4 linked regions of the Arabidopsis thaliana genome follow. The protein of the gene in region 1 interacts with the protein of each later gene in a pairwise test. Each region holds a gene or a part of one and is shown on either strand. Other genes may lie near its edges.

Region 1 (5,287 bases):
ATCACTACAAGCTCCAACATTTCTTCATCCTCCACCATATCAATTTTGTTCAAGAAGCACACAAGTGATGGAATACCAACCTGTGGCGAATTACAACCTAAAAAAACAGTCATAATTTCTTCAGTAGCTTTTCGATCAAGTCACACAACAATGATGTTCTTCGGTTTGAACATATGGTAAAGTAAGGGCCATGAAACTTTAATTGTGTGAAGAGAATGAAATCAGAGCCTCGCGTTGACGACCCTGCTTGTACTGGTAAATCAGTAGTTTGCATATTTCGTCTACTATGCTCGTCCTATTTGCGTTGTTTGACCCCTTCTTGTAATGGAAGTTGTAACACAAACATAAATAATAACTAGAGGGAACGACGACATTTATTTTCTTTTCAACAATATAACTAGTTCCTAAATCTAAATTGGGAGTGTGGAACCTAAAAAAGTAGTATCAGTACAAAATCTAATGTTACATACAAGCTTGTCTCTCACCACAAGAGTGAGCACTACAATCTAGCATAGCATCATAAGAGGAAGCATACTTGAGCAAAAGATTTGCTAAACATGAAATAAATATTTCATTTCTGGTCAACTTAATTTAATAATCGAAAATTCATGATTTTGGTTTAAAGAAATAAAAACAAATACTTGACAAACCACGAAGGTGAGAAAGAATTGGAAGTGGCTTTTTGAAAGTTTCACAAAGTAGGAAGCATCAAAAAGAAATAGACGTTTCGTGCCCTCTGCCCTAATCTTTCTCATTGGAAACATAAATTAAGTTTCTCTCTGTTTATTTGATCTACCCAAAGAAATCTCAAAGCAGCAAAAAGACAAAAAGAAAAATCTCGAAATTGATGGATTCCTAGAGAACGAAGGAGAAGAATGTGCTTTTGAGTAGTTTAGGTCATCACTTTTGATACAACACCAGCTCCAACTGTTCTACCTCCTTCCCTTAAGGCAAATCTTTGACCTGTTTCCAGAAGACGAGACGTGAAGGAAAAGAATCAGAAATCCAACTTCAAGTACCAAAAGAGAGTTTCTGTAAGATTGTTTTACCTGTTTCGAGTGGGACAGGCATGATTAACTCGAAAACAGCTGTGACATTGTCACCAGGCATAACCATCTTCACGTTTTCGGGTAATTCCACTTTGCCAGTGATATCTGCAGTCCTCAAGTAAAACTGAGGCCTGTAGTTAGAGAAAAATGCAGTGTGACGTCCACCTTCATCCTTTGTGAGCACGTAAATCTCTGCTTCAAACTTCTTGTATGTCTTGCATGAACCAGGCTTAGCAATCACCTAATACGTAAAAGCAGAGGATTAAACTTTAGTTCAGTTGGTTTTCAGTAAAGTTGGTTTTCGTCGTAAGGATGCCTAAGCTTACCATTCCACGCTGAATGTCTTCTCTCTTTAGCCCACGCAGAAGAAGTCCTACATTATCACCAGCCTAGCATAATAGAAGCCAAGGTTTGATCAGTATCTTACATGCCCAGAACTTGTCTTTGTAATCTTTTGATATTGGCTTTACCTGTCCATTATCCAAAATCTTCTTGAACATCTCAACCCCAGTTACAGTCGATTTCAGTGGAACACCCCCCTGAAAATCAAATCTTGCAGTTATGCTAAAGAAAATGCTTAATTGTAATAGCCCCCCAGAAAACACCAGTTTGGCAGTACAAACACAATATTTATGCACTCTCACCTCACGTAAACCCAATATCTCAACTTCTTCACCCACTTTAATGACTCCCTGTTCGATACGACCGGTTGCAACAGTTCCACGTCCCTTTAAGAAAAAGAAATGTATCAGAACTGTTTTTTTTTTTTTAAAGAGTGAATCAGAAAACAACAAGGATGTAGACTAAGTGTACTTGAATTGAGAAAACATCTTCAATTGGCATCAAGAAAGGCTTGTCAAGGACGCGAACAGGGTCAGGTATATATTCATCAACAGCATCCATCAGCTTTAATATAGCTTGCCTTCCAATTTCATCATTGGTGCCCTGTAATGCGGACAGAGCAGATCCTCGGATGATGGGAATATCATCCCCAGGAAACTTGTAGAAGCTGAGGAGCTCTGTATAGAGACAAGAGTTGATGTGAGCAAGCGTATACATACTTCATATGCTGAAAGAAGAAGTTCTGTGACATTAAAAATCTACAAACCACGTAGTTCCATCTCGACAAGCTCCAAGAGCTCAGGGTCATCCACCACATCAACTTTGTTCAAGAAGCACACAAGTGAGGGAACACCAACCTGTGGAACATTGCATAATTTTCAAATTGTGGCAAAGAACCTAGCTCCACTGAGTAGCTTCAAGTGTTCATGGTTTAATAATCCAAACCTGGCGTGCAAGTAGAATATGTTCCTTTGTCTGCGGCATGGGTCCATCTGGTCCTGAAACCACAAGAATTCCGCCATCCATTTGCGCAGCTCCAGTAATCATATTCTGAAAGTTAGCAACAGAAGCAGTGAGGCTCAACTGTTTACCAAAGTATTTTCAAAGGAAACCCGTATACTGATGCATGTTACTCCACTATACAATTGACAAATACTAGATTATGATGCTTGCATAGAGAATAACCCTTCTAGTTATCATAGTTCAAAACCGTGATCATTGATAAATAGATTGGAGTCAGAGTTTCAAGAAAATGTGTAACATGTAATGTTTGCAGCGTTAAAATGATATACACCAAGGAGCAGCATACTTTAAGTTCCAAGAATCCGACTATTGTTAACACCTATCTTATATGAAAGTAAAAAAGTATATCGGTTTCTTACTTTAACATAATCTGCGTGTCCAGGGCAATCCACATGAGCATAGTGACGCTTTGCAGTTTCATACTCCACATGAGCCTACAGAACCAAGTAACATCAAGTAAACGAACAAAATCTAATTAGAAAAATGAGAAAATGATACATAAAGATAACACAGACCGTGGCAATAGTAATTCCTCTCTTCTTCTCTTCAGGAGCTTTATCAATTTCATCAAAGGCAATAGCTTTAGCTTTGCCCTCCTCAGCAAGAACCTGCAACATAAGTAAGATCACAATATCAACTTAAAAAAAAAACAGATTCTTTGACAATAAGTTTCATGTAACCAATATACACAAAAGAAGTACCTTTGTGATTGCAGCAGTTAAAGTGGTCTTGCCATGATCAACATGCCCAATAGTTCCAACATTTACATGAGGTTTACTGCCACAAGAGCAATTACATAAGCAGAGCAATCACAATCAGAATCACCAACCAGTTTTCCAACTTTCCGATCTGAAGAGGGAAAAAGAAGCAAAAAATGGAAAGAAAACTAACTTTCGAGTAAAAGTGGCCATGGATCTCCAGAAGGAGGAGGTTCCGAAGGTAGAGGAAGAGAGATCATCTCCACCGATAGAATGAGAGATCGAGTAAGAGGAAGTAACGGAAGCACCACAGCGAGAGTAGATCTGGGAAGAGAATGGAACAAGGCGCTTCGAGCTAGGGTTTCGAAGAACAACGGACGCCATTTTGACTTGTACGAGAGAAAGGCGAACACACAAATGAGATTTGGGGTTTTAGTCGCCTGAGTAACAAGGGTTTCTCTTGAAACCTCGACCCTGTTTTTTCTTAAACCCGATCCGACGACCCGGCTTAAGCCCATTTTAGTATTCTTACTATTATTGGGCCTTAGTTCAAAACACCAACTTGTTCAACAAATTAAATTTTTGTTTATTCGATTTTACGTGGGCTCGAAGTACTTTTTATTTTATTTTTGTTTGTTAAAAAGCTATCAAGTATATCCAAAGTTTTTAAGAGCAAATAAAATGGGATCCAAATTATAAAAAAAAATCACTTAAAAATTAACAGTATAGATGATATGATCCTTTTAAAATTAACAGTATAGATAATATGATCGTTATAGATGAATATTTAATTTTGCATAAATATACATATTTTTGTCAAGAACATAAATCATGCATATTTGAATTTGAAGGTTAAACAATATGACGGTACTATTACAAACTGCTATATTACATGTCATATGATTCATATAACCGTGCCTAAAGGGTTAAAAAAAAGAAAGGCTTTTGTCTCGAGCTTCCAAAATATGTAATGTTTTTAGGGCTCCCAAAAAATAATTTATAATATATCACAATGGTTTTTCACGATTTTTTAGCCTTTATAAATTGCATATCTAAATTACGGCTTGGTATTCAGGTATGCTGGTCGGGTTTGGGTAATAATCGGTCGAATACGGATATGTCGGATATGCTATTCTAGGACCCAATAGGGTAAATAGAAAATCTCGGTTCGGATTCGGTTCGGATCCAATCGGTTTCAGATCGGTTTATATCCAAATACCCGAAATTTTACCCAATACCCGAATTTGTATCCAAATAATCGAAAATTTTACCCAAATACCCGAAGTTTCTAGTTATAAGAATACATGACTATATATCCAAAGTTTGAAACGAATCATTTAAAATAATATTCACATTCCTATATTAAAAAAATAAAGCAAATTCTGAAAATGTTTCTATTCATCAAAAGTCTAGAACTCCCTAATAGAGTGTACAAATTGTCTACAACTATAGATGAAAGAGCTCCAAATATGATTAACTTGCGTATTCTTGTAGACATTTATGTCGGGAGAGAAGTTGTATATCTTTGTCAAAACCAATCTCAAATGTCACTGATATATATAAATGTGTTTACACAATTTCTTTGTAATTAATTGATGTCTCTCTTATGCTTTCGAAAGCAACGGTTCCCACTGATCCACGTCGTTGCATGATAGTGGTTCCTATAATCACATGCGTTGCCGTGGACTGTCTTACTTTATTTCTTAATATATAGAGTCTATATCAATCCTATTATTTCTTTTTTATATTCAGCCAAGAGTAAACCCAAGATGCCATTAACGATGATGAAGCCTTTTTACATGAAAGTGTTGAAGATCACGATTCTCCACCACTACATCATCAACAAAGCATGAGAGCTTTTACGTCTCAAGAAAAAAGTTTAAAACTGGAAACTAAATTCTGAAACCAGAGGTTTGATTGGATAAAAAAAAAAGTGAATTCACTAAAAGTTCACATAGTAGTCTAATATTGAATAAACAAATTATGAACATAACCCGTGATTTTATATGGGATGTGATTAATGAAATCATATGAAGCCTCGGTGCATTAGTCACAAATCATTTTCATAGATACATCATAAAAAATTTCAAAAGATAAAAAGATAAAATAGGGGTTTGGCAAAAAAAAAAAAAAAAAAAAAAAAAAAAAAAAAAGAAGATAAAATAGTGTCTTATA
Region 2 (5,820 bases), on another chromosome or scaffold:
TTTGTGTAGCAAAGGCTGTTCAAAACTACAAACTAATGGGCTGATAAAGCCTTATACGGCCCAAAACATTATTAATTCACTTACCGAAAATGCCCTTATCACATATCACGAAGATACGAACACGAAGAATGCGTAGTAGTCGCCTGTTACTGGAATTATTTTCAATTTCTGAAATCAAATCCGATTGAGAGAAAACACTAACTTCAAATTCGAGATCTGAATTAGGGATTCTAGAGGATGACGAAGGATTTTCCAATTCCACCGGTTGTTTTCCCCACCAGTGGATCATCTCCGGCCACCGCAAATGTTCAGCAACGCCGAGTTCCCACAGCTCCTTACCAACCACCACGTCAATCCTCCGCTTCATCTTCAATCCCTTTCATTCCATTTGAAATCGGATCCGCCGCCGTTTCAATGCCGGCGGGACCATTCGACGGAACAATCGCTTCATCTGCATCTTTCGGTAGAGGAGTCTCTGCTTCGTTTGAGGATGAGGAGCCTTTACTCGACGAACTCGGTATCCATCCAGATCAAATCTGGAAGAAAACTAGATCGATTCTCAATCCTTTTCGAATCAATCAGACTGTTCACAAAGATTCAGATCTCTCTGGTCCGATCTTCTTATACCTTGCGCTTTGCTTATTTCAATTGCTCGCTGGGAAGATACAGTTTGGTGTTATACTTGGTTGGGTTGTTGTTTCTTCTATCTTCTTGTACATTGTCTTCAATATGCTTGCTGGTAGAAATGGGAATCTTAATCTTCATACTTGTACGAGTTTAGTTGGTTACTCTCTGCTTCCCGTTGTGATTTTGTCCGCGGTGTCCTTGTTTGTGCCACAAGGTGCTGGTCCCGTTCGGTTTGTGCTCGGTGCGGCTTTCGTGTTGTGGGCTACTAGAGCTTGTTCTAATCTGGTGGTGTCTCTTGCTGATGGAGGAGAAGAGCACCGTGGATTGATTTCGTACGCCTGTTTCTTAATCTATACTCTGTTTTCGCTTCTCGTTATCTTTTGATTCCTTGCTTTCGAATATTGATAGATTGTTGAACTTTCCGGTGCCATTACTGAGTAGCTTAATGTGATATCTTATAAGTGTTTGTGGTGAAATAGCTGAGACATTGTAAAGGTTTTTGATAACTTTAGAGGAAGTTGTTATTGATGTGGTTTAAGTAATTGAAGATGATGTTCTAAGATCTCTTACTATTGGAAATCTCGAAACGTTTATGCCATATACATCCTTTTGTGGTTCTGTTTGACAGTTTCTTGACATGAACTGTTCTTTGAATTAGATTTGGTGAGAGTATCAATTGCTCATTTTTAGCGTACATGTGTTGCAGTTGTAGTGTAGATTTTCCGAACGTAGAAGCGAGTCACTAAGATGTTTTGATTAAAGATCTTAGGTTGCTTCAACTACCAATGATAAATAAGTGACTGGGGAGAAGTGTGAATGGTTTAGCTTGAAATTGTTCTATAAGCGAGAAAGTAGTTGATCAGAAGATACACATGACGAGCTTTGGCCTGGCAATGGCATTGCATAAGATAGCGAAACTATCATACTTCGATTGTCTCAATCACAATTGATGCGTTCGAAACAAATCTAAACGCAAACAAACAATCTGAATTATAGAATTGTGGCTTGTTTACGTTCATCATCATTCATGGTTCCATGGACTTCACTGTTCTACATGAGCAAGCAAAAGACTCATAAAATTGTGCAAATTTTTCGTATGCTTATTATCCGGCTAAAGCCCAGAATTCGTTGTATGGGCTTTAAGACCAACATTATAGGCCCATTTATATTAAACATTTAATTTTCTTCATCACTCTCGTCGGCTAACGCTTTGTCTCTTTCACCAACTTATTTAACAGATGAATTTAGTAGCTGTAGTTGTTACTGAAACAGATAAAAATTAGGAGCAAAATCAAAATCATAATCCACTTTTATGTGATCGAGAAAGAGATTCTAAGCCCAGAAAACACCAAAACCTTCCATTTTCATTGGTTCCCATTTTTTTTTCTTTGTAGCTCGAATTCTCTGCTGCCACTACTCGTAAGGTACTCTTCGTCTTTTACATGTTAATGTACTTCTGCTACAATCTCTAAAACTGCTCCCTCTGGAAATTCTGTACTCAATCGTCGAAATGTCTTAGCTTTTTGTATTCGTCTACTGTTTTACAAATTTCTGGAATTCCCCATCTTCAATTTCGTTACTTTAGAACAGTACGATGTGCCAATTGTAGTTTTCTGATTCAAATTGATACTCCTCGGAAATTTATTAATTAAAGCATTGACTTTTCTTTGTAGTATCTTAGCTTCTAGTGTTGAACTTGATCCATATGCTGCTGATATGCAACTGGTTTCCAATTATAGTACTGTAGAATGTGAGTGCCACTTTTTTTTTTTTTTAATCTTCTTCTTGGTTCAGGACTTGACGTTGACCTCTTGTTCTTTCTCTTGAAGCAGTGAAATTGGAGTTTTTAATAGATCTTTGGTTGCTTCTGTAGTCTCAGAATGGCAGCTTATGTTTCTCCCTGTTTAACTCCTCCGGATTCTCGGGTACTCACTGTTCTTAGAAAGAGTGTGTTACCTGATCATCATCTAGGCACGAGGGTTGGTTGCTTAAGAATGAGTGAAGGTACTACTAAAAGATATCGTGTTGTTGCTTCTCATAAGTACGAGTCTTCGTCAATCAGAAACTCTTTGAATTCTCATAGTACAAGCCATTTCCAAAGCCAAGACTCTTTCTTGAATCTCCACCCTGAGATATCCATGCTCAACCCAAGAAAAGAAACTTCCAGTGTTCCCATTACTGAGGATTTGGATGAGTTATCTACTCCAAACACTTACAATGAGGCTAGGATTAAAGTTATCGGCGTTGGAGGTGGTGGTTCAAACGCTGTGAATCGTATGATTGAGAGTGAGATGATTGGTGTGGAGTTTTGGATTGTGAATACCGATATCCAAGCAATGAGAATATCTCCGGTTTTTCCAGACAATAGGTTACAAATTGGTAAGGAGTTGACTAGGGGTTTAGGTGCTGGAGGTAATCCAGAGATTGGGATGAATGCTGCTACAGAAAGCAAAGAAGCTATTCAAGAAGCACTTTATGGTTCAGATATGGTCTTTGTCACAGTATGTCTATAACTATTACTTTCACTTTTTCTTAGTAACAAACTTTTATTTATACTTATTTCTATATAAAGATATAGATTACAAATGAGAAGTTTTACGGGTCAGAATCGCCGTTTGCAATATCATGTTGGTTTTATTGAATTTTGGTGGGTTGCAGTTTCTCTTTGTGTTTACCAGTTTCTCTTTTATCTCCATCTGGTTAAAGCAGTGAGGTTTATGTCTTCGATCATAGAATACTTTCCTGTTTAAAGTACAACCAGTTATGGGTTATTGTGTGAATTTGCTGCCTCCATAGATTGACTGTAAGATTAGATCTTTAAGTTCAGTGCCTAAGCTTTTCTAGCCAAATGTCTTGTTATTTTTCTAGGCTGGAATGGGTGGTGGAACTGGCACAGGTGGTGCTCCTATAATTGCAGGGGTTGCAAAAGCGATGGGTATATTAACGGTTGGTATTGTGACAACGCCTTTCTCATTTGAGGGACGGAGAAGAGCACTCCAGGCTCAGGAAGGGATTGCAGCCCTCAGAGATAATGTTGACACCCTCATTGTTATTCCAAACGACAAGTTACTAGCAGCAGTCTCTCAGTCTACTCCAGTTACAGAAGCATTTAATCTGGCAGATGATATACTTCGTCAAGGTGTCCGTGGAATATCTGATATTATTACGGTATGGCTTTGAAAGTATTTATTCTCTAAGCTATGACATCCATGTTTATAGAAAATGTCTGACTGCAATATCGTTGTGTTTGCATTGCAGATTCCTGGATTGGTCAATGTGGATTTTGCTGATGTGAGGGCGATAATGGCAAATGCAGGTTCTTCATTGATGGGAATAGGAACTGCAACAGGTAAGAGTAGAGTGTTCTTTGGAATTGAACTATTTTATTGATAGGCTCTATCTGCTGCATCATTACGTATGTCGAAGGGGAATATTGGTTTAGAAGGCAGGTTAAAGAACCCTGTGACCAATATAGGCGACGCTTTATGCATATGTTTGTTAGCTAAAATGCTAAGTTTTCAATTTACTGAGAATTGGTACTACAGATGTAGCTGAGTAGATTAATTTGACTATAGATTTAGTACTCTTTAACCATGACAAAGGAATAATGTTTGGTCCACTGCAAGTTGGTATATTGAGGAAAATCCTAAACTTGAACTATTTTGGTGCTATGTTTTGGCTGCATCATCATGCTTAATCTTTCAAGCTATACTGTTATTTGAGCAGGAAAGACCCGAGCAAGAGATGCTGCATTAAACGCAATCCAATCCCCTTTATTAGATATTGGCATTGAGAGAGCCACTGGAATAGTTTGGAACATAACCGGTGGAAGTGACTTAACACTGTTCGAGGTTTTTTTTCCCTCTCTACGCTTTCAGACCATTTCCTGTCCTAGAAATCACTTGGTTTCTTCCCTAGACAATTCATAAAAGAACTTCAGTCCCATGTCATATATAACGTTGTGTGTCTCTATTTTGACTCTCGGGAAACGATTTGTAGGTAAATGCTGCTGCAGAAGTGATTTACGACCTCGTTGATCCAACAGCGAATCTTATATTTGGTGCTGTGGTAGATCCATCTTATAGTGGTCAAGTAAGTATTCTTCTTTCTTGGATTTTCTTCTAACATATAACCTATGAGATACCCAAATTGCTTAAACTTTTTTTCTTCCTGTCAGATAAGTATTACCCTGATAGCAACTGGCTTCAAACGCCAAGAAGAAGGAGAAGGGAGGCCACTTCAGGTATTCACTTGTCTCCCTTGACACACACACACAACATAGCCGATTCTTACATCAAATGTTAAAAGTCTTCGGTTGTAATCTCTCTTATTGCTACATGAAAATACAGGCGACACAAGCGGATGCATCAATGGGAGCCACAAGACGTCCTTCATCATCATTCACTGAAGGCAGCTCCATAGAGATCCCAGAGTTCTTAAAGAAGAAAGGGCGCTCTCGCTATCCTCGCCTCTAGACCCACTTTGATCACTCTACATGATATTGTTGAATGTAAGGAGAAAGAATGTTTGGTGCGGCTATGTAAATTGCCTCTATGGTGATATTCTATAATAGGTTGTTAGAAATTATTTTACTATATTACAAAAATAATGTTACTTGACAGATGATAAATCTTAGTCTCTGTCACTCTGTTTCCAGATTTTGCCTTTGGATAAATGGATAGAAAAACAACATCTAAGACAAATATATCCTATGATGAGACATTGTAAATGGTTTTGGTTATTTAAATCAAACATACGGGTGCACAAATTATTATTTTTACCACAAATTACACATAAATTTCGAAAGAAAGAAAGAAAAAAGGTATAATTAAACGATATTATTGCACATCGTGCAAATAAATTAGTCTCGATGATATTGTTACTAAAAAAACATTAAGGACTTGTGTTGAAAATTCAAAGCTGCTAGCAATCTCGAGGAGGAGGTGGTCTTGGAATGGGTTTGCAAGGCTTTTTATAGTTATGTCCCGGCGTATCTTCACCTCCTCCCTTTGGAGAATCTCCACATGGTGGGGAGGGTCTTACGCATATCTCAGGTTTACCTTTGTAGTTGCACACACATTAAAAAAAAAATTTAGAAGATTAACTTGTTGGTTGTAAATGGATGTAACATGTAAGAAAATACGAACTAATCAGTTTGTAAACTACACCATTTTATATTTGGGACGATTAAGC
Region 3 (5,446 bases), on another chromosome or scaffold:
GAATTCTTCCCGATAGTGTGACATTTAACTTGCTTCTTCGGGATCTCTGCAGTTCTGATCATTCTACTGATGCAAACAGATTGAGACTTTTGGCATCAAGCAAAGGATATGAACCCGATGAGACAACGTACCATGTTTTGGTTTCGGGGTTCACGAAAGAAGGGAGAAGAAAGGAAGGAGAAGTTCTAGTGAACGAGATGTTGGATAAAGATATGTTGCCTGATATCTTTACATATAATAGATTGATGGATGGCTTGTCCTGCACTGGAAAATTCTCAAGGAAACAAGTCCGGATGTTGTAACCTGTGTTTGATCTGTGTAAACTAGACCCAAGCTATATCTATGTATCAACAAATTTTATTTTGAACATATGAAATGGAAACCAAGTTGGTTCTTTGTTTGGTTGCTGCACATTGCCACAGAATCATGCGTCGGAGATGAACTTTTTTTATTCGAAAGTCACAGTTGTTTGCTGGTATATCGCTATTGATTTTTTTATTAACTGAATGAAAAATGACAATAATTTCTGCTAAAACTCTCATAATCTTATAAGTATGTTTATGGTTCGAGAAGTGTGATTCTTCTTCTCCTTTTTTGTTTTGGAAGTGACATAGAGAGAAACTCCGATTTCTAAAACAACCTATTCAAGAACACGACCAGAGGCAGTGACAGAACATATACACACCCACACAGATTCTTGATCATACATCAACACATCTTGCTGTATCCCAGAAGGCAGTACCAGACTACCAGTACACACACGTTTGTTATTGCTGCAGTGTGCAGGGTAGTGATTAGATTGGGCTTTAGACTCGGGGATAACGAGAGCTGCCTTTCTTCTTCAAGAACTCTGGGATCTCCACTGAACCGCTTTCTCTAAAGGAAGAAGAGGGTCTTCTTGTAGCTCCAACTGACGCAGCATCTGCTTGTACCATCTGAACTGTTCGTCCTTCTCCCTCTTCTTGTCGTTTGAAACCCGTAGCTATCAGGGTTATGCTTACCTTTTACCAAAAAAAACATCAATTCTATCATCTCTAGAGGTCTTATCTATGTTTAGTAGAAGAAACATTATAAAGGACATACTTGACCGCTGAGGGCTGGATCTACAACAGCACCGAATATAAGATTGGCAGTTGGATCGACAAGATCATATATTACTTCTGCAGCAGCATTTACCTACACAAGACCAAAGTGTATGAAAAACTATAGAGCATCTTAGGGGTATGAAGCAAAATCAGGCTTTGCTCTAAGTTGTCTATGGAAGGAAGAAAATAAATGATTTTAACACCCTGTCAATGCGTCTCTCAAGATCCAGTTATTGTTTATGGATCTATCGACATAGAGATAAGAAACAAAGATGAGAGAGAGAGACAAAAACCTCAAACAATGTCAAGTCACTTCCGCCAGTAATGTTCCAAACAATTCCAGTGGCTCTCTCAATCCCAATATCTAACAAAGGAGATTGGATTGCATTTAGCGCAGCATCTCTTGCCCGACTCTTTCCTGAATGATTACAAGTAGCATGAAAGAATCAGCACGTTGCAAACAAAACAAAACCTTGCGCAAAAGAAGTTCAAGGTTCATGACTTTGATTATTACATCATGACATAGATGCACAATAGTTGAGTAACAGTGAATATAATATGGTCATTTTCAGTATCCCAGTCACTAGACTGGTTTCTTTGCCACACCAATCTACTAGCTCATTAGTTCAATTAGACTATTTCGACACATATCTAGTGACTAATGGTTCTGCTTATGAAACTATGCAGCTAAATGAGCTTATCCATCATTCCAAACTTACCTGTCGCAGTTCCTATTCCCATCAATGAAGACCCCGCATTTGCCATTATAGCTCTCACATCAGCAAAATCCACATTCACCAAACCAGGAATCTACAAATCAAGGACAAACGTAGCTGGTAAATCATTTGCCATACACAAAAAAATGATCACAGGATGCCCATAAGAAAAGCTATACCGTAATGATATCAGATATCCCACGAACCCCCTGACGGAGTATATCATCAGCTAGATTAAATGCTTCTGTTACCGGAGTAGACTGAGAGACAGCTGTAAGCAACTTGTCATTTGGAATGACGATGAGAGTGTCAACATTGTCTCTGAGAGATGCAAGCCCTTCTTGAGCCTGAACAGTTCTTCTTCGACCCTCAAACGAGAAAGGCGTAGTGGCAATACCAACTGTCAATATACCCATCGCCTTGGCAATTCCTGCAATTACAGGGGCTGCACCAGTGCCAGTTCCACCGCCCATTCCAGCCTATAAAATGATGAAGAGACATATAAACCTCACTCTTTTGGACAGATGGAGACCAGAACTAGCTGATAAGTGATTGACAAATGACACATACCTCTTTTTCTACAATCAAAGTTTATAACTAAGAAGAACAAATGCAATAGTAATAATAAAGATTTGAGGACATACTGTGACAAAGACCATATCTGAGCCATAAAGAGCTTCTTCAATAACTTCTTTGCTCTCTCTAGCAGCATTCATACCGATTTCTGGATTTCCTCCAGCACCTAAACCCCTAGTCAACTCCTTACCAATTTGTAACCTATTATCAGGCAAAACAGGAGACATTCTCATAGCCTGGATATCAGTGTTGACAATCCAGAACTCCACACCTGACATTTCACTCTCTATCATACGATTCACAGCATTTGATCCACCACCTCCCACACCAATAACCTTAATCCTCGCCTCATTGTAGTTACTCGGAGCAGATGGCTCTTCAAAATCCTCGACAACAGGTCCAGAAGACGTTTCCTTTCTTGGATTGACTATTGTACTAGTCCCTTCACCTCTAAGCATAGATATTTCCGGGTGAAGGTTCAAGAAAGGATCTTGAGCTTGGCTTTGGTAATGCCGTGGAGAGTTTCTGATTGGAGAAGATTCAGATTTCTGAGCGGCAACAACAACTCGGTTTTTCTTACTGTCAATCGTTCTAATGGAGTTCAACCTGCCTAAATGATTCTCCGGTAAAACATTCTTTCTAAGAACAGTTAGTAACCGAGAATCCGAAGGAGTAAAACACGGTGAAACGTAAGTTGCCATAATGAGACCAATCACTGCAGGACTTTACAAAATTCAGAACCAAAAGACTAAATCCAATTCCACTGATTACTTCCCTAACAAGACCTGTTCATAAAAAGCTAAATGGTCAAACCCAAAGCTCTCAATTTAGAGTTATATGATTCAGCCACAAAGTAAAACACGAAATCCACAAAGTAGCCACAAAGCAGTGTGATTTACATTCATAAAGTTAACATAAACAAAACCCAGTCGCATCTATGCTCCATTGTTAACCAGCAATAGATATCAAATCCTCAGAAATTGAGAATCAGTGGATGGTTTAAGACTTAGAAGAATGAAACAAGTGAGGAACCACAAAACCCAAATTAAACTAAAATGCTTTTTCCCATTACGAATTGAAGAAATTGAAGATGGGTATTGCGAAGTTTGCAGCATTACATGAAAACAAAGTAGAGAAATGGAAGAACACTGAGAAAAGCTTAGATTTTTGGGTAAATACAGTAAGATGGAGGACGAAATCAAAAGGATAAAGCTGGAGGGAAGTGGAGAAGAGAAACCTGAGAGTAGCAGAGGAAACCTGGAAGAAGAGTTGGGAGAGAAAAAGTGTGAATTGAACAAGGAGCTCAAGGTCTGGAGGAAACCCACGAAACGGAGGGTTTTGGTGTTTTCTGACTAGTAAATATCTCAAATTCATTAAACCCCCAATAATTAAAAAATATATAAAAAATGCTTTTGTTCATAAAATTTTTATTTTTATTTTGGTAAAATTTTGTTCCAATTTATCACTGTTATGTTGGTGTTGGTAAGAAAAAAAACTATGGGAAATGATTGTACTTTAAATTTCATTTCATGTACTTTCATTGAATTTTTTGTGTAAATTTGCTAAATGAATTTTATGAAGGAAACAAAAAAAATTACAAGAAAAATGTGGTGGCTACATTACATAGTTGGAACAATAATGTCATCATTTGAATTAACTAAAAACAAAAAGCAACTCTAGTCGTTACGGCAAAAGAGTTTCGAGGTTGTGATATTCCTTTATGTTTCATGGTTTAGGAATATGGTTTTGAACTTTTGATTAGAGTTTTCCTTGTACTTTACTTCTTTTGAGTTTAGGTTAAGAGTTCTATTACTATTAGGAGTTGATTTGGTGTTATAGATAAGACTCATTAGCCTTTGTTCAACAAAAAATAGCACATACATATAGATTAATGACAAGAATGAAGAAAAAGAAGAGGACATATATATAGGAGAGATAATGGAACACCAAAAGCAAACATAATAAACAGATTTAATCTTACATTCATTTATCGCATCAGCTACATTTACGGTGCTGATGCAAATTTATTGAAAGCGATAAAATAAAAACACACAAACATGGAACACACATGTAGATATGTGACATTGATCATAAGCAATGCACACATTATTTAGGTACTGATACACAATTATTCACGTTTCATATTTGGTTTTGCGTCCGGATGAGATACTTAACAAGGTCCGTAGCAGTGACAGTGCGTCTCGTTGTCTTCCACTTCACATGCCCCAAACCAAGTTGTGTTGGTTGCCCTGCAAAGAAGGTCACACAATTTTGAGCCGTCAACTTTAACACACACACCCTCTTGAGCTTCACCTTTAAAGCATGTTTGGGCTACCGCCTTTGGGAGTCCTGTTTTAACCATTCTCACATTAATCTTTTCACATCCATATCGATATTAATATAGGACAAAGGAAGTTAAGAAAATCTTAAAATTACCATTAGAAACCAACAAGATGATCATCAAGAGAGCAGAGAAGTTAACTATGAGCTTTGCCATATTTCTTTGTTGTTGTTTTGTGTTTGCTTCTTCTTCTTTTTTTAATAGAGCAGAGATTGATGAGCTTGTAGCTAACTATTTGAAAGCATAGAATCATTTATAGGGCAAACTCGTTGACTTTTATTTCTTCTATTTGAATCCAAGACATATATAGTTTATTAGTTTTTGTGTAATATGGATTAATGTATATAATGTCGCCATAATTTGAATTGCTAGTTGACAAAACAGAAATGAATTGCACGATCCACCCAATGTCTCGCTAATGATCTCTCTATGTTGCATCCAAATTGTAACAATTTTTTATATAGCAACATATTATAATTTTAATGTCATTATTTTGGCCCAACTAAAATTCAAGGGATGAGGATAAAGTATATAGAACACCAAACCTTGTATCATACGTATGAATACACAGAAATAGTTAAATATAATTATTGAAGTGTTCTTAGTAAAGTGCCTTGACTCAACTTAACATAATGAGCACATATAATGACATTGATATTGTATTGACTCTTTGTTTCATATGATACTATACCAAATAAATTTCTTATTATATAAAATGTTTTCATAAC
Region 4 (3,685 bases), on another chromosome or scaffold:
ACGAGAGAAAGGTTGTGTATTTAGCTTGACCTTTTTAGTTTCTTATGACAGTGGCACGTCTCTTTACGCCCAAGATTGCAAGTTTGTATGAAGACTACTACAGGGCTAAAGGCGTAAAATTTATAAAAGGAACGGTTTTGACATCATTTGAGTTTGACTCGAACAAAAAGGTAAGATCGTTTCTTTTAGCTTGAGATTCAACTCGAAAAATGTCTGGTACGTTGCATCTATGTATACAACTAAGGATGGCAAGAATCAGTAGAACCACAGATACTTCTGGTCCAGTACTCAAACTATGAAATCTTGAGCCTTGTTCAATGTATTTGTTTATTGATATGAGGTTTTTTGGTTTTCGATTTACAGGTTACTGCAGTTAATCTCAAAGACGGGAGCCACTTACCAGCCGACTTGGTTGTGGTTGGTATCGGGATACGACCAAACACAAGCTTGTTTGAAGGACAGTTAACAATAGAGAAAGGAGGGATAAAAGTGAACAGCAGAATGCAGTCAAGTGACAGCTCAGTGTATGCAATAGGCGATGTAGCTACATTTCCAGTGAAACTATTTGGCGAAATGAGGAGGCTTGAGCACGTGGACTCAGCTAGGAAATCTGCGCGACACGCAGTTTCAGCCATCATGGATCCAATAAAGACCGGAGACTTTGATTACTTACCATTTTTCTACTCAAGGGTCTTCGCATTCTCATGGCAATTCTATGGAGACCCTACAGGTGATGTTGTGCACTTTGGAGAGTATGAAGACGGGAAATCATTTGGAGCGTATTGGGTTAAAAAGGGTCACCTTGTTGGATCTTTTCTTGAAGGAGGCACTAAAGAAGAATATGAAACTATCTCAAAGGCGACACAATTGAAACCAGCTGTGACTATTGATTTGGAAGAATTGGAAAGAGAAGGACTCGGGTTTGCTCACACGGTTGTGAGTCAGCAGAAAGTTCCTGAAGTTAAGGATATTCCGAGCGCTGAGATGGTGAAGCAATCTGCAAGTGTGGTCATGATAAAGAAGCCTTTGTATGTATGGCACGCAGCTACTGGAGTCGTTGTGGCTGCATCTGTGGCTGCGTTCGCGTTTTGGTATGGGAGGAGACGCCGTAGATGGTGAGGAAAAAAAAAACTCTTCAAGTGTTGGATTCATTGGAAATGGAACTTGCTGTTGTTTGTAGCATTGGTGGGAGAAATATAGAAGGGAGAGTCCAAACTACTCAATGTGATTACATTGGTATACGATTATTATATGCTTCTTTTAAAATGCATAAACGTTTCCACTACAAACTTTGATTCAACGTCTTTGAAGCCCTTTGTTACTTGTTAGTGTTCATAATCTTGTGATTATTGGTAGAGTTAATTCGGCAATACGGCAATACCCATAAAATTAGAAAAATAGCAATGAGGAGCTAGCTAACAAATAATTTTGCACACTTATTTAATTGTTATGACAGAAATCATAATTAATAAACAAACTAAATGTGATTAGAACAACAAGGGCGTTTGGTCTAGTGGTATGATTCTCGCTTTGGGTGCGAGAGGTCCCGAGTTCGATTCTCGGAACGCCCCTTTTTATTTTTTTAACTCCTCAACGTCAGGCCTCACGGGTATTTTCGTAAACATACAAACGATACAACCTCATCTATTTGTATATGCGCATGATAGCAAACGTACGCAATATTCTATTCCCCAAAATACCCCTTATCCATCATTTTTCTATCCTCTCATCTTTCATCTTCCTCACACACAATCCAATCAAAACACACAGAGAGAAGAAAAACTCAGAAGAAAAGCCAAAGAGTGAAACAAAAATGGCGTCGACGACTCTCTCAATCGCAACAACAATCCGTTCCTCATCTTATCCTACTCTCGCTTCCATCAATCACTTCCCTTCCCGAACCACCACCATCGAATTCCCCTCTCGCTTCGGTGGTGGTTCATCATCCACATTGACCCACCGTGCAACCCATCTCCGTCCAATCGCCGCCGTCGAAGCTCCGGAGAAAATCGAGAAGATCGGATCCGAAATCTCATCCCTAACCCTCGAAGAAGCTCGTATCCTCGTCGACTATCTCCAAGACAAATTCGGTGTCTCCCCACTCTCTTTAGCCCCCGCAGCAGCGGCGGTTGCTGCTCCAGCCGACGGTGGCGCGGCGGCTGTAGTGGAGGAGCAAACAGAGTTCGATGTGGTTATCAATGAAGTTCCGAGTAGTTCTCGTATTGCAGTAATTAAAGCTGTTAGGGCTTTGACTAGCTTGGCGTTGAAGGAAGCTAAGGAGCTAATCGAAGGATTACCAAAGAAGTTTAAAGAAGGTATCACTAAAGATGAAGCTGAAGAAGCTAAGAAGACTCTTGAAGAAGCTGGTGCTAAAGTCTCCATTGCTTAAGGTTTTTATAAAAAAAAAAAAAGAAGTTGTTATCTTTTCTGGAATTTGATTGGTCTTTTGTGTTGTTTAGTATAGTTTGCGTCTGGAATTGTTGAGAAATTGTTGTAATTTGAATCACATTTGGTTTCCCATTAGCTGATTTCGCCATTGATGTGAGCTTTTTGGTAGCTGCACATAACATGTTTGTTGAAATGCCTAAATGAGGCAAATCACTCGTAGTTGCTTAACATGAAACAGAGTTAAAAATAATAAGCACAAATGTCACTGCTACATTTTTTTACTTAGTATTGTAACACTCATGAAATATTTAGGATATATTATAAACGAGATCATGTATGAATACAAAAACACAGCATATTAACACCAAGTTTGAGGCATTGTCCACCTAAGAAACCTTGTTCTTTGCAGTGCTTATTGCAGTCCGGAAATTTTGAGCATAGACCTTCCACAAGGTACCACCCTCCTTGAGCTTTGGCCATAGATTTTGCGTGTACTTCACCTATCGTTTTCCAAAGATTGTTGTAATATTAGAAAAAAAGTCGTTACTCGTTTAGACATAAAGGCAAAAGAAAAAGAAAATTCACTCGACAAGAATCTCTTGCAGCTGGTAACAACGCAATATCACTATGTATTTTATTTTATTTTTTGTGATAACAAGTTAATATCACAATGTATTGTGAATCACAATGTATTGTGAAAATAATAGTGTATACAATATGTATGGAGATATGATCTAATGTCTGATATAAAATAAGTATTCGGTTTGCTAGTTAGTGTTGAGTGTTAACTCATGAATCTTGCTACTTTGGTTATACTTCAGTATATATGAATAAATTGAATTAAACAGAAAAAAAATATAAACGTTTTTTTGGCATACTTGGGGCGAGAAGAACAATCATGCATAAGAACACAAGGAAGGCGCATTTGCTTGATGAAGCCATTTTTGGTTTTTGTATTGTTTATTTTTCTAATATTTGCTAATGGAACACAATATTACTCAAAACCCTTATTAATATATATATATATATATCTGTATATATAGAGAGAGAAATATGATGAGTTTTTTACTTTGTAAATAAAATTGGATTCTTTTCTTATTTAATCTAGGATATTTTATTACATTTAAGTTATGGTTTTATTTTATATATATGAAATTTTTAATAATCATGATATGGGATGGGGTGGATTTAATTAGTGATGATTATAGGATTTAGATTCAATTTTTTCTATTAGTTTATTTTCATTATGATAACTTTAGGTATCCTACTATATTATTTAGGAAGTACATTTTAAATG

What was found.
Region 2: the proteins of AT4G02930 (region 1) and FTSZ2-2 interact in a protein complementation assay, tested with the Arabidopsis thaliana proteins (one study listed by BioGRID).
Region 3: the proteins of AT4G02930 (region 1) and FTSZ2-1 interact in a protein complementation assay, tested with the Arabidopsis thaliana proteins (one study listed by BioGRID).
Region 4: the proteins of AT4G02930 (region 1) and RPL12-A interact in a two-hybrid assay, tested with the Arabidopsis thaliana proteins (one study listed by BioGRID).

What each region holds. Positions count from the first base shown.
Region 1 is NC_003075.7:1,294,859-1,300,145, forward strand, and holds AT4G02930 (GTP binding Elongation factor Tu family protein), read right to left. Parts: upstream 3,643-5,287; 5' UTR 3,497-3,642; coding exon 3,306-3,496; intron 3,192-3,305; coding exon 3,116-3,191; intron 3,023-3,115; coding exon 2,930-3,022; intron 2,849-2,929; coding exon 2,774-2,848; intron 2,442-2,773; coding exon 2,337-2,441; intron 2,249-2,336; coding exon 2,158-2,248; intron 2,069-2,157; coding exon 1,863-2,068; intron 1,778-1,862; coding exon 1,694-1,777; intron 1,589-1,693; coding exon 1,520-1,588; intron 1,439-1,519; coding exon 1,376-1,438; intron 1,291-1,375; coding exon 1,050-1,290; intron 964-1,049; coding exon 893-963; 3' UTR 517-892; downstream 1-516. UniProt on the Arabidopsis thaliana protein: This protein promotes the GTP-dependent binding of aminoacyl-tRNA to the A-site of ribosomes during protein biosynthesis.
Region 2 is NC_003074.8:19,549,123-19,554,942, reverse strand, and holds FTSZ2-2 (Tubulin/FtsZ family protein), read left to right. Parts: upstream 1-1,841; 5' UTR 1,842-2,051; intron 2,052-2,070; exon of another isoform or gene 2,071-2,377; intron 2,378-2,459; 5' UTR 2,460-2,507; coding exon 2,508-3,128; intron 3,129-3,495; coding exon 3,496-3,795; intron 3,796-3,885; coding exon 3,886-3,976; coding exon of another isoform or gene 3,977-4,017; exon of another isoform or gene 4,018-4,312; intron 4,313-4,353; coding exon 4,354-4,478; intron 4,479-4,626; coding exon 4,627-4,719; intron 4,720-4,804; coding exon 4,805-4,870; intron 4,871-4,976; coding exon 4,977-5,102; 3' UTR 5,103-5,282; downstream 5,283-5,820. Other genes in the region: AT3G52760 (Integral membrane Yip1 family protein), read left to right, coding at 238-1,011. UniProt on the Arabidopsis thaliana protein: Exhibits GTPase activity. Component of the plastid division machinery that forms a contractile ring at the division site.
Region 3 is NC_003071.7:15,196,855-15,202,300, forward strand, and holds FTSZ2-1 (Tubulin/FtsZ family protein), read right to left. Parts: upstream 3,750-5,446; 5' UTR 3,615-3,749; exon of another isoform or gene 3,163-3,614; 5' UTR 3,079-3,162; coding exon 2,446-3,078; intron 2,281-2,445; coding exon 1,981-2,280; intron 1,896-1,980; coding exon 1,805-1,895; intron 1,504-1,804; coding exon 1,379-1,503; intron 1,177-1,378; coding exon 1,084-1,176; intron 1,002-1,083; coding exon 807-1,001; 3' UTR 515-806; downstream 1-514. Other genes in the region: AT2G36240 (pentatricopeptide (PPR) repeat-containing protein), read left to right, coding at 1-302; AT2G36255 (Defensin-like (DEFL) family protein), read right to left, coding at 4,548-4,726, 4,814-4,874. UniProt on the Arabidopsis thaliana protein: Exhibits GTPase activity which converts GTP ligands to GDP.
Region 4 is NC_003074.8:10,316,763-10,320,447, forward strand, and holds RPL12-A (ribosomal protein L12-A), read left to right. Parts: upstream 1-1,742; 5' UTR 1,743-1,813; coding exon 1,814-2,389; 3' UTR 2,390-2,390; exon of another isoform or gene 2,391-2,670; intron 2,671-2,718; coding exon of another isoform or gene 2,719-2,888; 3' UTR 2,889-3,158; downstream 3,159-3,685. Other genes in the region: MDAR4 (monodehydroascorbate reductase 4), read left to right, coding at 52-170, 364-1,119; AT3G27831 (Gamma-thionin family protein), read right to left, coding at 2,719-2,888, 3,267-3,330.